3 linked regions of the Macaca fascicularis genome follow. The protein of the gene in region 1 purifies or fractionates together with the protein of each later gene. This does not show direct contact. Links are inferred from orthologs where the notes say so. Each region holds a gene or a part of one and is shown on either strand. Other genes may lie near its edges.

Region 1 (3,747 bases):
TGGAGTGCAGTGGCCGGATCTCAGCTCACTGCAAGCTCCGCCTCCCGGGTTTACGCCATTCTCCTGCCTCAGCCTCCCGAGTAGCTGGGACTACAGGCGCCGCCACCTCGCCTGGCTAGTTTTTTGTATTTTTTAGTAGAGACGGGGTTTCACCATGTTCACCAGGATGGTCTCGATCTCCTGACCTCGTGATCCACCCGTCTCGGCCTCCCAAAGTGCTGGGATTACAGGCTTGAGCCACCGCGCCCGGCCTCTGGTAGTTATTTTAATACTGTTTGGATCGCTAGTACAGACTCAGTTTTTTTTTTAACCCACACCATGTTAGTTTCTTAATTCTGGACTTTCTCAGTGTGTCAGTGTAGAAGCAGCTAACGCTTCCAATGTACACAACCCAGACTTTTCATGACCCCAGCCTGACTTCGACGCTGCAAGCCTCCCTCTAGGTTCCCCGGGGCGAGTGCCCGAGTGCGTGTTGGGCTCCCGGCGGGGCTCCAGGCCGGCCCCGACGGACTTCCCCGCCTTTGCCCAGTCGTGCCCCTCCGCGGAGGCTTGCCAAGGTCTTGTCTGCTGCACTTGATGTGTGCAGCTCAGCTTTACTGTGTCTGGGCTAAGCCCCACAGTTTCTTTTACAGAGTGATTGTCCAACTTCAGGCATCTGGGTCCGCGAGTGGTGGGTATGGGCCGGAGTGGGGAATCAGCCTTTCCAGCAAGGTCCCTGCAGATGCCGCGGATCTGAGAAATACGCTTTGGAAGGCCTGGCAGTGCGTCTAGATCTGACAGCTGCTCTGCATGGGCCTGGCTCCAGGCTGAAGCAATAGTGGGTCAATGCAAAATCGTTCTCTCAAGTTCGGGAAGCAGAAGCCAGAGAGGGAGACTGGGTAGGTGCGCGCTGGTACCGCCGAAGCGTTAGCTCTGGCTTCAGTGCGCGGCCTGAGGAGGACGCCAGGGGGCAGCAGCGTCACGCCCGCCCGCCCAGGACGCGCTTCTGAACGCGCAAGCGCAGTAGGCCCAGTGCGTGCTGTCCTGGGGTATAGCAGGGGGCGCAGAAGCTTGGGCTGCAGGTAGGTCCTGGGGCGAGGGGCGAGAGGGCGAAGCGGTGAGGGGGCGTGTAGCTGGGTTTCTCGAGGGGCCTGTACGTGGCCCGGCCCGCAGCGCCGGCCGCCTGTGCGGAGGCTCCCTGGGAGGCTGCGCTTGGCCTGGGCGGCCGGGTCCACCGCGCCCAGCCCCCGCCTCCGCGTCCAGCCCTGCGCGGTAGCGGGAAGTTAAAGGACCCGAGAAGGGCCAGGCGAGGTGGCTCCAGTCTGTAACCCCAGCGCTTTGGGAGGCGGAGGCGGGAGGATCGCGTGAGCTCAGGCGAGAGCAGCCTGAGCAACATGGCGGAACTCTTGTCTCTGTAAAAAAAAATTTAGCCGGGCGCGGTGGCGCCGCCTGTAGTCTCAACTACTCGGGAGGCTGAGGCGGGAGAATCGCTTGAACCCGGCGGGGGCGGAGGTTTCAGTGAGCCGAAATCGCGCTACTGCACTCCAGCCTGGGGGACACAGTGAGAGACTGTTTCTATTATTATTACTTTATTATCATTATTATTATTATTTGAGACGGAGTCTCGCTCTGTCGCCCAGAATGGAGTGCGGTGGCGCGGTCTTGGCTCCTGGGATCACAAGGCGTCCGCCACCACGCCCAACTAATTTTTGTATTTTTAGTATAGACGGAGTATCACCATGTTGGTCAGGCTGGTCTCGAACGCCTGACCTCAGGTGATCCGCCCACCTCGGCCTCCCAAAGTGCTTGGATTACAGGCGTGAGCTACTGGGTCCGGCAGAGGCTGTCTTTGTTTAAAAAAAACAAAAACCAAACCAAACCGAAACAAAAAACGAAAAACAAAAAAACCAGAAAGGACCTAGGACTCTGTCTCGGCTCTTTGCCTTTGGGTGTTTATTCTGCACGAGATCATTGTTGCCAGGAGGTGTTAAGTGTAATCATATTCTTCTCTTTTTTTAGAAAGCAAAATTTCACTCTTTTGTTGCATAATCTTGTCTTTGTCACCCTTTGCCTTTACTGTAGGACCCTAAGGCTAAATAAGCATTAAGAATATTTAAAATAATCCTTCTAATGTACCTTGTGCTTTATTGGCACAATGGAATTCTACTGTAAATTGCATTGGATGACACTACTCTGTGTCTTCCCTAGTTGTAGAAAATACCTTGTAAGTCGGTAAAAACTAGTTTTGTCCCTTTTCTTTTTTCTTTAAGCCAAGCTTTTCTCTATCAATAAGCCTGCCTATCAGTGTCAGAAATGCTTTGTATATCAATCGTGCCTGAATTTCTCCTGCCCAACCTGCCCCACCATCTTTATTCCTTAATGTGCAGGCTGTTTTCAGGACCAGTAAATTTCAGCGGTTTTTGCTTATTTCTGGACACGAAAGTTCCTTCAGCCACACAGCCTCATGCTATGCTCTGGGCGGCCTACTCCAGAATATGCTCTGAAACAAAAAAGCAAATCGGGGCTGAGGTGGGCTGAAGTCTTCTTTAAGAAACAGGCAGTCCCAGGGTCCCCTAGACCAGTCCCTAGGTGACCACACTGGGTTTGATTTAGTTCAACTCCTGAGCATTGTGGTATTTAGGGGAAAAATGGGCTTGAGTCCAGAAAACTTGGCTCCTCTGTGTATAGTGACCTTAGACATATTACTTCACCTCTGACTCAGTTGTCTTATCTGTGAAATGGAAATAACAACAATTATATCCACTTCACAGAATTGGTGTGAAGTTGACACTGTATAAAAGTCAAATGAATTTTTGAGTTTTTTTTTTATTTTGTTTTGGTGTTTTTTCTTTTTGCTGAGAGAGGATTCAGAAGTGAATGTGAGGACTTAGGGATACATAAAAGGTTAATGGGGCATATAAAATTTGTATTCAGCAAGAAATGCATTAAAGGTTTTCTTAGTAATGCGGAGGGTCCAACACAGATTAGAAAATATGCATTTGTAGAGTCCCACAGAGTTTTGTAGCTGATGTTGGCAGCCTTTGAGTGGAAATGAAAAAGTGGACAGGGCAAGTTACATGGGGCTGGTGAATGATAAGCAGATCTGGGTTTATGATGAAGCTTCTAGTCTCTTCACTTGCTCAAATACCTTCCAAAACTCTGGCAAGGGGCTCAGCACTTTTACATTCATAACTGTGTATTCTTAAAGAATTACCACTCGTCGTCCCAACTTATATAAGCTTCAGGCCCCATAAAATCTGAATCCACCCCTAGTGGCAAGGAAGGATTGGTGGGAGGTTAGGGGTAAGGAGGGTTGGAGGGTTGAAAGGATTTACCACAGGGTTTGAGCTGGGAAACTTGGATTGAAGAAGGAGGTGGCAGATGAGGGGCCTCAGAGAATGGGAGCTGTGAGGAGAGGAAGAGCGGATGCGGTGGGGTGAACACAGGAGAGGGAAAGCAGCCTTCATGGCTGAGGCCATGAAGAGGGAGAGGCGCAGAGTGACCAGGCAGTCGTGTGTCTTTGCTGAGTACCCACTGTGTGCCAGGCACGGGGGTGCACTGGTGAACAGGACAGACAGGCAGGCCTCTTGGTGCTTAGAATTTAGAGGAGGCCGGGGCCTGGGTATCCCAGAAAGGGAGCCTTTGAGGACTGAGGAAAGCTCAGGCGCCAGAGAGTGGGGTGCAGGGAGGGTTTAGGGAAGCAGATAGGGGCTAGATTTCAGGAGGCCACCTAAGAGTTTGGACTTGATCCTGTGGGCCGAGTCAGGG
Region 2 (3,647 bases), on another chromosome or scaffold:
TATGTATGTTTTTTCTTTTTTGTTTTGAGACGGAGTTTCGCTCTTGTTGCCCAGGCTGGAGTGCAATGGTGCGATCTCAGCTCACCGCAACCTCTGCCTCCCAGTTTCCAGTGATTCTCCTGCCTCAGCCTCCTGAGTAGCTGGGATTACAGGCATGTGCCACCACACCTGGCTAGTTTTGTATTTTTAGTAGAGATGGGGTTTCTCCATGTTGGTCAGGCTGGTCTCAAACTCTGGACCTCAGGTGATCTGCCCACCTTGGCCTCCCAAAGTGCTGGGATTACAGGCATGAGCCACTGCACCTGACCTAATTTTTGTGTTTTTTAGTAGAGACAGGGTTTCATCATATTGTTCAGGCTGGTCTCGAACTCCTGTCCTCAGGTGATCCGCCCGCCTTGGCCTCCCAAAGTGCTGGGATTACAGGTGTGAGCCACCACACCTGGCCTTGTGTATTTTTTTACTAGAGACTGTGTTTCACCTTGTTGCCCAGGTTGGTGTGGCCTCAAGTGATGCTCCTGCCTTGGCCTCCCAAAGTGCTGAGATTACAGGCATGAGCTACTCTGCCTTGCTATAGATATATATTTTCATTTCTCTTGGGTAGATGTACCTAAAAGTGGAATTGCTGGGTCATGTGGTAACTATTTAACTTTTTGAGAAACTGCCAAACCGTTTTCCAAGTCAGCGGTACCATTTTACTTTCCCACCAGCAGTGTATGAGGGTTTCAGTTTCTCTACATTCTCTCCAACATTTGTTTTCATGAGTCTTTTTTATTATAGCCATCTTGGTACTAAGTGGTATCGTGGTTTTGATTTGCATTTCCCTGATGGCTAATGATGTTAAGCATCTTTTCATATGCTTATTATATGTTTGTATTGTATATTTATACATTCGTATGTCTTCTTTGGAGAAATGTCTATTAAAATCATTTGCCCATTTTTAAATTGGGTTGTCTTCATATTATTGAGTTGTAAAGAGTTATTTTACTAGACCCTTAGCAGACATGATTTACAAGAATTTTCTAAGAAGAATTATTTAAAATTTTGCGATTAAAACCAAAATATTTTTAGAATACTCTGTTCTGATCCACAAAGTGGTACTGTACTGTGACCAGCATTGGCACAATTTTTCTTTTATGTTTAAGGGATGAAGATGCCCCTGCTAAGATTCCAGATGAAGAGGCCACAAAACCTGAAGGCTGGTTAGATGATGAGCCCGAGTATGTACCTGATCCAGACGCAGAGAAACCTGAGGATTGGTAAGAACTTCAGTTAACTTTTTTAATTATGTAGGTTGTTTTGTTTGTTTGTTTGTTTGTTTTTGTTTTTTTTTTTTTGAGACGGAGTCTTGCTCTGTAGCCCGGGCTGGAGTGCAGTGGCCGGATCTCAGCTCACTGCAAGCTCCGCCTCCCGGGTTTAGGCCATTCTCCTGCCTCAGCCTCCGGAGTAGCTGGGACTACAGGCGCCCGCCACCTCGCCCGGCTAGTTTTTTTTTTTTTTTTTTTTTTGTATTTTTAGTAGAGACGGGGTTTCACGGTGTTAGCCAGGATGGTCTCGATCTCCTGACCTCGTGATCCGCCCGTCTCGGCCTCCCAAAGTGCTGGGATTACAGGCTTGAGCCACCGCGCCCGGCCTGTTTGTTTTTTTGAGATGGAGTCTCACTCTATCTCCCAGGCTGGAGTTCAGTGGCAGTTTCAGCTCATTGCAACCTTCATCTCCTGGGTTCAAGCGATTCTCCTGTATCAGCCTTGCGAGTAGCTGGGATTACAGGTGTGTGTCACCACACCTGGGAAATTTTTGTATTTTTTGTATTTTTAGTAGAGGCGGGCTTTAACCATGTTGGCCATGCTGATCTTAAAAAGTCCTGACCTCGGAGATCGAGACCATCCTGGCTAACACAATGAAACCCCGTCTCCACTAAAAAAAAATACAAAAAAATTAGCCGGGCGTGGTGGCGGCGCCTGTAGTCCCAGCTACTCGGGAGGCTGAGGCAGGAGAATGGCGGGAACCCGGGAGGCGGAGCTTGCAGTGAGCCGAGATCGCGCCACTGCACTCCAGCCTGGGCGACAGAGCGAGACTCCGCCTCAAAAAAAAAAAAAAAAAAAAAAAAAGTCCTGACCTCAAGTGATCTGCCTGCCTTGGCCTCCCAAAGTGCTGGGATTACAGGCGTGAGCCACCACACCCAGCATAAGTTACCTGTTTTTATGGAAGTCAAACTTAATACTTAAATATAGCCAAGTTCCCCAATTTCAGGGTAGAATTTGACAATTTTAATTATATTTTCTTCTTTTTTAAAAAATATATTTTTCCTGAAAAACTGTTATTACTGGAAAAACAGAAACAGGAGAAGCTGGTCTGATACTGTGAAAACATTTCAGCAGGATCTTGGCAGCCCTGGGCCAGCCAGCTGTTCATAGTCCTGCATCACAGAACCTGTTTATAATTTGTTGTTTGTACCTCCATAGGGATGAAGACATGGATGGAGAATGGGAGGCTCCTCAGATTGCCAACCCTAAATGCGAGTCAGCCCCTGGATGTGGTGTCTGGCAGCGACCTATGATTGACAACCCCAATTATAAAGGCAAATGGAAGCCTCCTATGATCGACAATCCCAGTTACCAGGTTTGTGCCTCTTGATGGTTGAGTTGCTTTCATTGATCTGTTTGTATTCAGATAGAAGTTTTATCTAGAGTCAGGCTGCCAGGTTGGTCATTATGGTTGTTCATTATATTCAAGCTATTGAATTAAAAGCAGAAGGTAGACATCCTAAGTTGAAAGAGAGCTTATTGGGTGAGGTGTTGCAAAGATAAACCTAGAAACTGGAGTGAATAACTTTATGTAACTTTTTTTTTTTCTTTTTTTTTTCTTTTTTTTTTTTGAGACGGAGTCTCGCTCTGTCGCCCAGGCTGGAGTGCAGTGGCGCGATCTCGGCTCACTGCAAGGGCGCGATCTCGGCTCACTGCAAGCTCCGCCTCCCGGGTTCACGCCATTCTCGTGCCTCAGCCTCCCGAGTAGCTGGGACTACAGGCGCCCACAACCGCGCCCGGCTAATTTTTTGTATTTTTAGTAGAGACGGGGTTTCACCGTGGTCTCGATCTCCTGACCTTGTGATCCGCCCGCCTTGGCCTCCCAAAGTGCTGGGATTACAGGCGTGAGCCACCGCGCCCGGCCCTTTTCTTTTTTTTTGAGACGGAATTTCGCTCTTCTACCCAGGCTGGAGGGCAGTGGCGTGATCTCGGCTCACTGTAACCTCTGCTTTCCAGTTTCAAGCAGTTCTCTTGCCTCAGACTCCCTAGTAGCTGAGATTCCAGGCGCCTGCCACCACGCCTAGCTAATTTTTGTATTTTTAGTAGAGACGGGGTTTCACCATGTTGGCCAGGCTGGGCTCAAACTCCTGACCTCGCGATCCCCCACCTCAGCCTCCTAAAATGCTGAGATTACAGGCATGAGCCACCGTACCCGGTCAACTTCCTTTTCTTTGAGACTGAGTCTCACTCTAGCGCCCAGGCTAGAGTGCAATGGTGCAATCTCGGCACACTGCCACCTCCACCTTGGGTTCAAGCGATTCTCCTGCCTCAGCCTCCTGAGTAGCTGGGAGCACAGGCGTGCACCACCTCACCTGGCTAATTTTTTGTATTTTCAGTCGAGAC
Region 3 (3,747 bases), on another chromosome or scaffold:
TCAATAAATACTAGGGAACTCAGAGACCAGTGCCGGAGTGGGTCCTCTGTATGCTGAGTGCCGGTCCCCTGGGCCCATTTTTTCTTTCTCTATACTTTGTCTCTGTGTCTCATTTCTTTTCTCAAGTCTCTCGTTCCACCTAACGAGAAATGCCCACAGGTGTGGAGGGGTAGGCCATCCCTTCATCTAATCTGACAGAGATTATCAATCTAAATAAGAGATAATTTCTTCAATAATTTATTAAGCTATTGGCCAACTGGTAATATCCCTGGGTTCTTAAACTTCTGACTATGTGCTCCAGGATCTCCGTTACACCACATAACTCTCAATCCCTCACAATGTACTCTAAATTTTCTAAATGAGAAACTCCAGAAGCTGTAAGCAAAAGCAAAGTTACAGAAATTCATTTTCTTTTTCATATGGGATAAGGAGGGACCAGAATGATACAAACTAATGGGGAGAAAGAGCTGACAGGGATATTATCAGGGCCAATTGACGTATAACACACTAAAGGCAGCAGCCACACTCTGCCAAAAAGAAAGGGCACAAATGGAAAAAGCAGCAATATAAAAAAATTCAGATTATCTTTACCCTGCTGGGTGTTAACAGCCATTGATTCTTCGTGATGGAATTCTTCACAACAGGGGAGGCCTTGGTGAAAGCTGGGTGGAAAACCCTAGAAGGTAGTGTCCGGAGACACACAAGCCTTGCAGCCAACATGGTGGTGGTGCACCAGGTCTACCAAGCAGATCTGAAATGCTAGTAAAAAAAGGCAAAAACAACAAAAAGAACATAAACAAAACAATCCACTAACCAATAAAGAGAAGGACATATGAGAGTCAGAGTCAAGAAGGAACAATTTTTTAGTAGAAAAGGAAATACAGCCACCTTTTTAATTTTCAGCGATGAATTCTTTGCCCAATCATCCCTTGGTAATGCAAGAAACCCATCCCAGAGAACACAGCTGAGGATGGAGGAACAAATTAGGTTTAAGTCCCAGTTTGACCAATAATAAAATAGATGATTTCAAAAATTATGTGTTAACACAGAATGGCTGTTAACTGGATGTGATTACACCCGGGTCTATGATGGCTTTTACAAATGTAGTTTTGGCTTAAGATTCATACCAGTATCCAGTGGGAAAATTTAAAAGAATCTACATAACGTTTGGTCAGAGAAATAGTGTCATCTAAAGAGACATGAATAGCTCTTCTGCATTACAAAGCTAAAAGATATTAAAAGAAGCCAACTATATGAATTTCAGCTAATCATACCAAATAATACTTTCCTTCAACATAAGATATAAAAATATTCTAAGTTAACCTATTCTATATGTCCTACTATAATGCGTAAAGGACATTTAGTCTTTCAAAGTAAAATCGGTTACCAACTAGGTTTCCCTTACATTAGACTCCCTCAATGGTGTCTTCAAAAGAAAAGCATGCTAAAAACTGGATTATCTTAGCTCCAGGGCACATTATACTAGATGGGTGGTCAACCAGAAGTCAGCGGATAGTGTTTCTGTAATGCTACAGTGAGGTGACTATGATAGGTCAGAATGAAATGACAAGTGCAAACCAACTGGGGCTACCAGCACATCTCCGCCAATGATTTGTAGTGAATTTCAGGCAAGTGATATTCTTCTGGGTCCATTTCCCCATCTGTAACATAACGATTCCCAGTGTTCAGACTACAGCGTTGACCCTTGGACTACCTGCTTGAAAGTGACGCGGACGCATCTTAAAATGTAGGCTCCTGCGTCTTTCTTTGCTCCTAATGATTCTAGCTCTAGGAATAGGACCAAGGATATGTGTTTTAACGAACACTCCAAAAGCTAAGAACTATTGTTTTAAGATACCCGAGCGTCCTCCGAGCTCTGCAACTGAACTGAAGGATCTTAATACTCGGCACCTGGCCTTTGGGAAAACACCCAGCGCTTTTGGAACTTTCGTGCCATTACATCATCTCAACCTATGGCTGTCCTGTATCTTTCTCAGTACTCAGTCCACTGGGGGGGCCGAAGAGGTCCAGCTCAGAGTGACCTCCATGTGGCCTAACAGCACAGAGTGGGAATTCCACTTCTGACACGTTAGAATTGACCTTGTGAGGGGTGTGGATCTCTAAGACTCAGATGTCTGTCTTTGCTACAAAATGGGGAAAATACTACCGACCCTAATCCAAGGGCTTATGCCTCCGTGAGCATTGGATGAGTTTGGGTGCCTGGTCCCCGAGAAAGTTCACCCAGCCCGCTAGATTCGGATGAGAACCTGGCAGCAAACCTCCACGTCAACCCACAACACCTCTGTCCGCGCCCCAGGTGCCGCTACCAGCGCAGCGGCTGTACGGCCTGGCCGCAAGGATGACTCAGCACCTTGTTGCCCCGCGACAGAAGCACAGCTAGAATAGCCCTTGCGCGCCTGAGCAGGACCTTGTGGCCGCCGCCCTCTCCACTGGGTCACCCACAGGACTGCGACCCCAACGCGCAGGCCGGCCCTGACGCACCCAGCAGCACCGCTGCTACCAGCCCTTCCCTCCGCACCCAGCGGTCCCGTGAGGGCGGCTGTCAGGAGCACCGGGGATCCCGGGCGCCCGCCAGCCAGCCGGAGCATTACCTTGGTCCCCAGTCACCTTCGCTGCGTAGTTTCCCTTCCGGGCTCCCAGCACGCTCCTTACGGTCTGAAAGCGCACAGTTCCGCCAGCGCACTGCATGACGCAACATCGAGAGGAGGTAAATAGTACGAGTAGCCAATCACTGGCAGGCCTCTGTCGGAAACGCGGGCACAGTGGGGGAGGAGGGGTTCCGGGTTACGAGGCGGGGTTCCAAATTGGTGGGGCGGGGCCAGTTGAGGATTGTTGCAGGGAACGTCATAATCAGCGTCCATTTTGCGTGTGGGCATGGGAGTCGTCTGGGCCATCTTTGTTCTGGGCAGCGGAGGTCTCTTTTGCTTTTGTTTTAGCCTTTTCACTCGCCGCAGATATAAGAATTATGTAAAAATTGAAAGAAAGTAATGTTAGAGTTAAAAATTATTCCGTTTGGCGGATGAGGTCAGGAGATCGAGACCATCCTGGCTAACCCCTTGAAACCCTGTCTCTACTAAAAAATATATAAAAAAAAAAAAACTAGCCGGGCGAGGTGGCGGGCGCCTGCAGTCCCAGCTACTCGGGAGGCTGAGGCAGGAGAATGGCGTAAACCTGGGAGGCGGAGCTTGCAGTGAGCTGAGATCCGGCCACTGCACTCCAGCCTGGGTGACAGAGCGAGACTCCGTCTGTAATCCCAGCATTTTGGGAGGCCGAGACGGGCGGATCACGAGGTCAGGAGATCGAGACCATCCTGGCTAACACGGTGAAACCCCGTCTCTACTAAAAAAATACAAAAAACTAGCCCGGCGAGGTGGTGGGCGCCTGTAGTCCCAGCTACTCGGGAGGCTGAGGCAGGAGAATGGCGTGAACCCGGGAGGCGGAGCTTGCAGTGACCTGAGATCCGGCCACTGCACTCCAGCCTGGGCGACAGAGCGAGACTCCGTCTCAAAAAAAAAAAAAAAAAAAAAATTATTCCGTTTATTCCGTTCCTTTCTATTTGAAGGACTTTTTGTCCCTTAATTTATTGTGAGATAAATATGGTTCCAAATGTGACTGCTTCTGAGCGGAGTCATCCGGTTTCTGGGGTCTCACGCAAAAGGTTAGATCGTGAAATCCAGAAAAGATTTTTTTCTAGATGGTTTTTTCATTGCTTTTTTACTTTCCCGT

The links.
Region 2: the proteins of POMK (region 1) and CANX purify together in Homo sapiens (affinity purification with mass spectrometry; 3 studies listed by BioGRID and IntAct, counting the BioPlex papers as one, with this or other methods). This does not show direct contact. The link is inferred for Macaca fascicularis from reciprocal best matches to the Homo sapiens genes POMK and CANX.
Region 3: the proteins of POMK (region 1) and GHITM purify together in Homo sapiens (affinity purification with mass spectrometry; 3 studies listed by BioGRID and IntAct, counting the BioPlex papers as one, with this or other methods). This does not show direct contact. The link is inferred for Macaca fascicularis from reciprocal best matches to the Homo sapiens genes POMK and GHITM.

What each region holds. Positions count from the first base shown.
Region 1 is NC_088382.1:46,639,283-46,643,029, forward strand, and holds the start of POMK (protein O-mannose kinase), read left to right. Parts: upstream 1-1,010; 5' UTR 1,011-1,061; intron 1,062-3,747. UniProt on the Homo sapiens protein: Protein O-mannose kinase that specifically mediates phosphorylation at the 6-position of an O-mannose of the trisaccharide (N-acetylgalactosamine (GalNAc)-beta-1,3-N-acetylglucosamine (GlcNAc)-beta-1,4-mannose) to generate phosphorylated O-mannosyl trisaccharide (N-acetylgalactosamine-beta-1,3-N-acetylglucosamine-beta-1,4-(phosphate-6-)mannose).
Region 2 is NC_088380.1:186,592,541-186,596,187, forward strand, and holds part of CANX (calnexin), read left to right. Parts: intron 1-1,142; coding exon 1,143-1,256; intron 1,257-2,462; coding exon 2,463-2,619; intron 2,620-3,647. UniProt on the Homo sapiens protein: Calcium-binding protein that interacts with newly synthesized monoglucosylated glycoproteins in the endoplasmic reticulum. It may act in assisting protein assembly and/or in the retention within the ER of unassembled protein subunits.
Region 3 is NC_088383.1:62,535,500-62,539,246, forward strand, and holds the start of GHITM (growth hormone-inducible transmembrane protein), read right to left. Parts: upstream 2,706-3,747; 5' UTR 2,372-2,705; exon of another isoform or gene 965-2,371; 5' UTR 889-964; intron 760-888; 5' UTR 721-759; coding exon 592-720; intron 1-591. UniProt on the Homo sapiens protein: Plays an important role in maintenance of mitochondrial morphology and in mediating either calcium or potassium/proton antiport. Mediates proton-dependent calcium efflux from mitochondrion.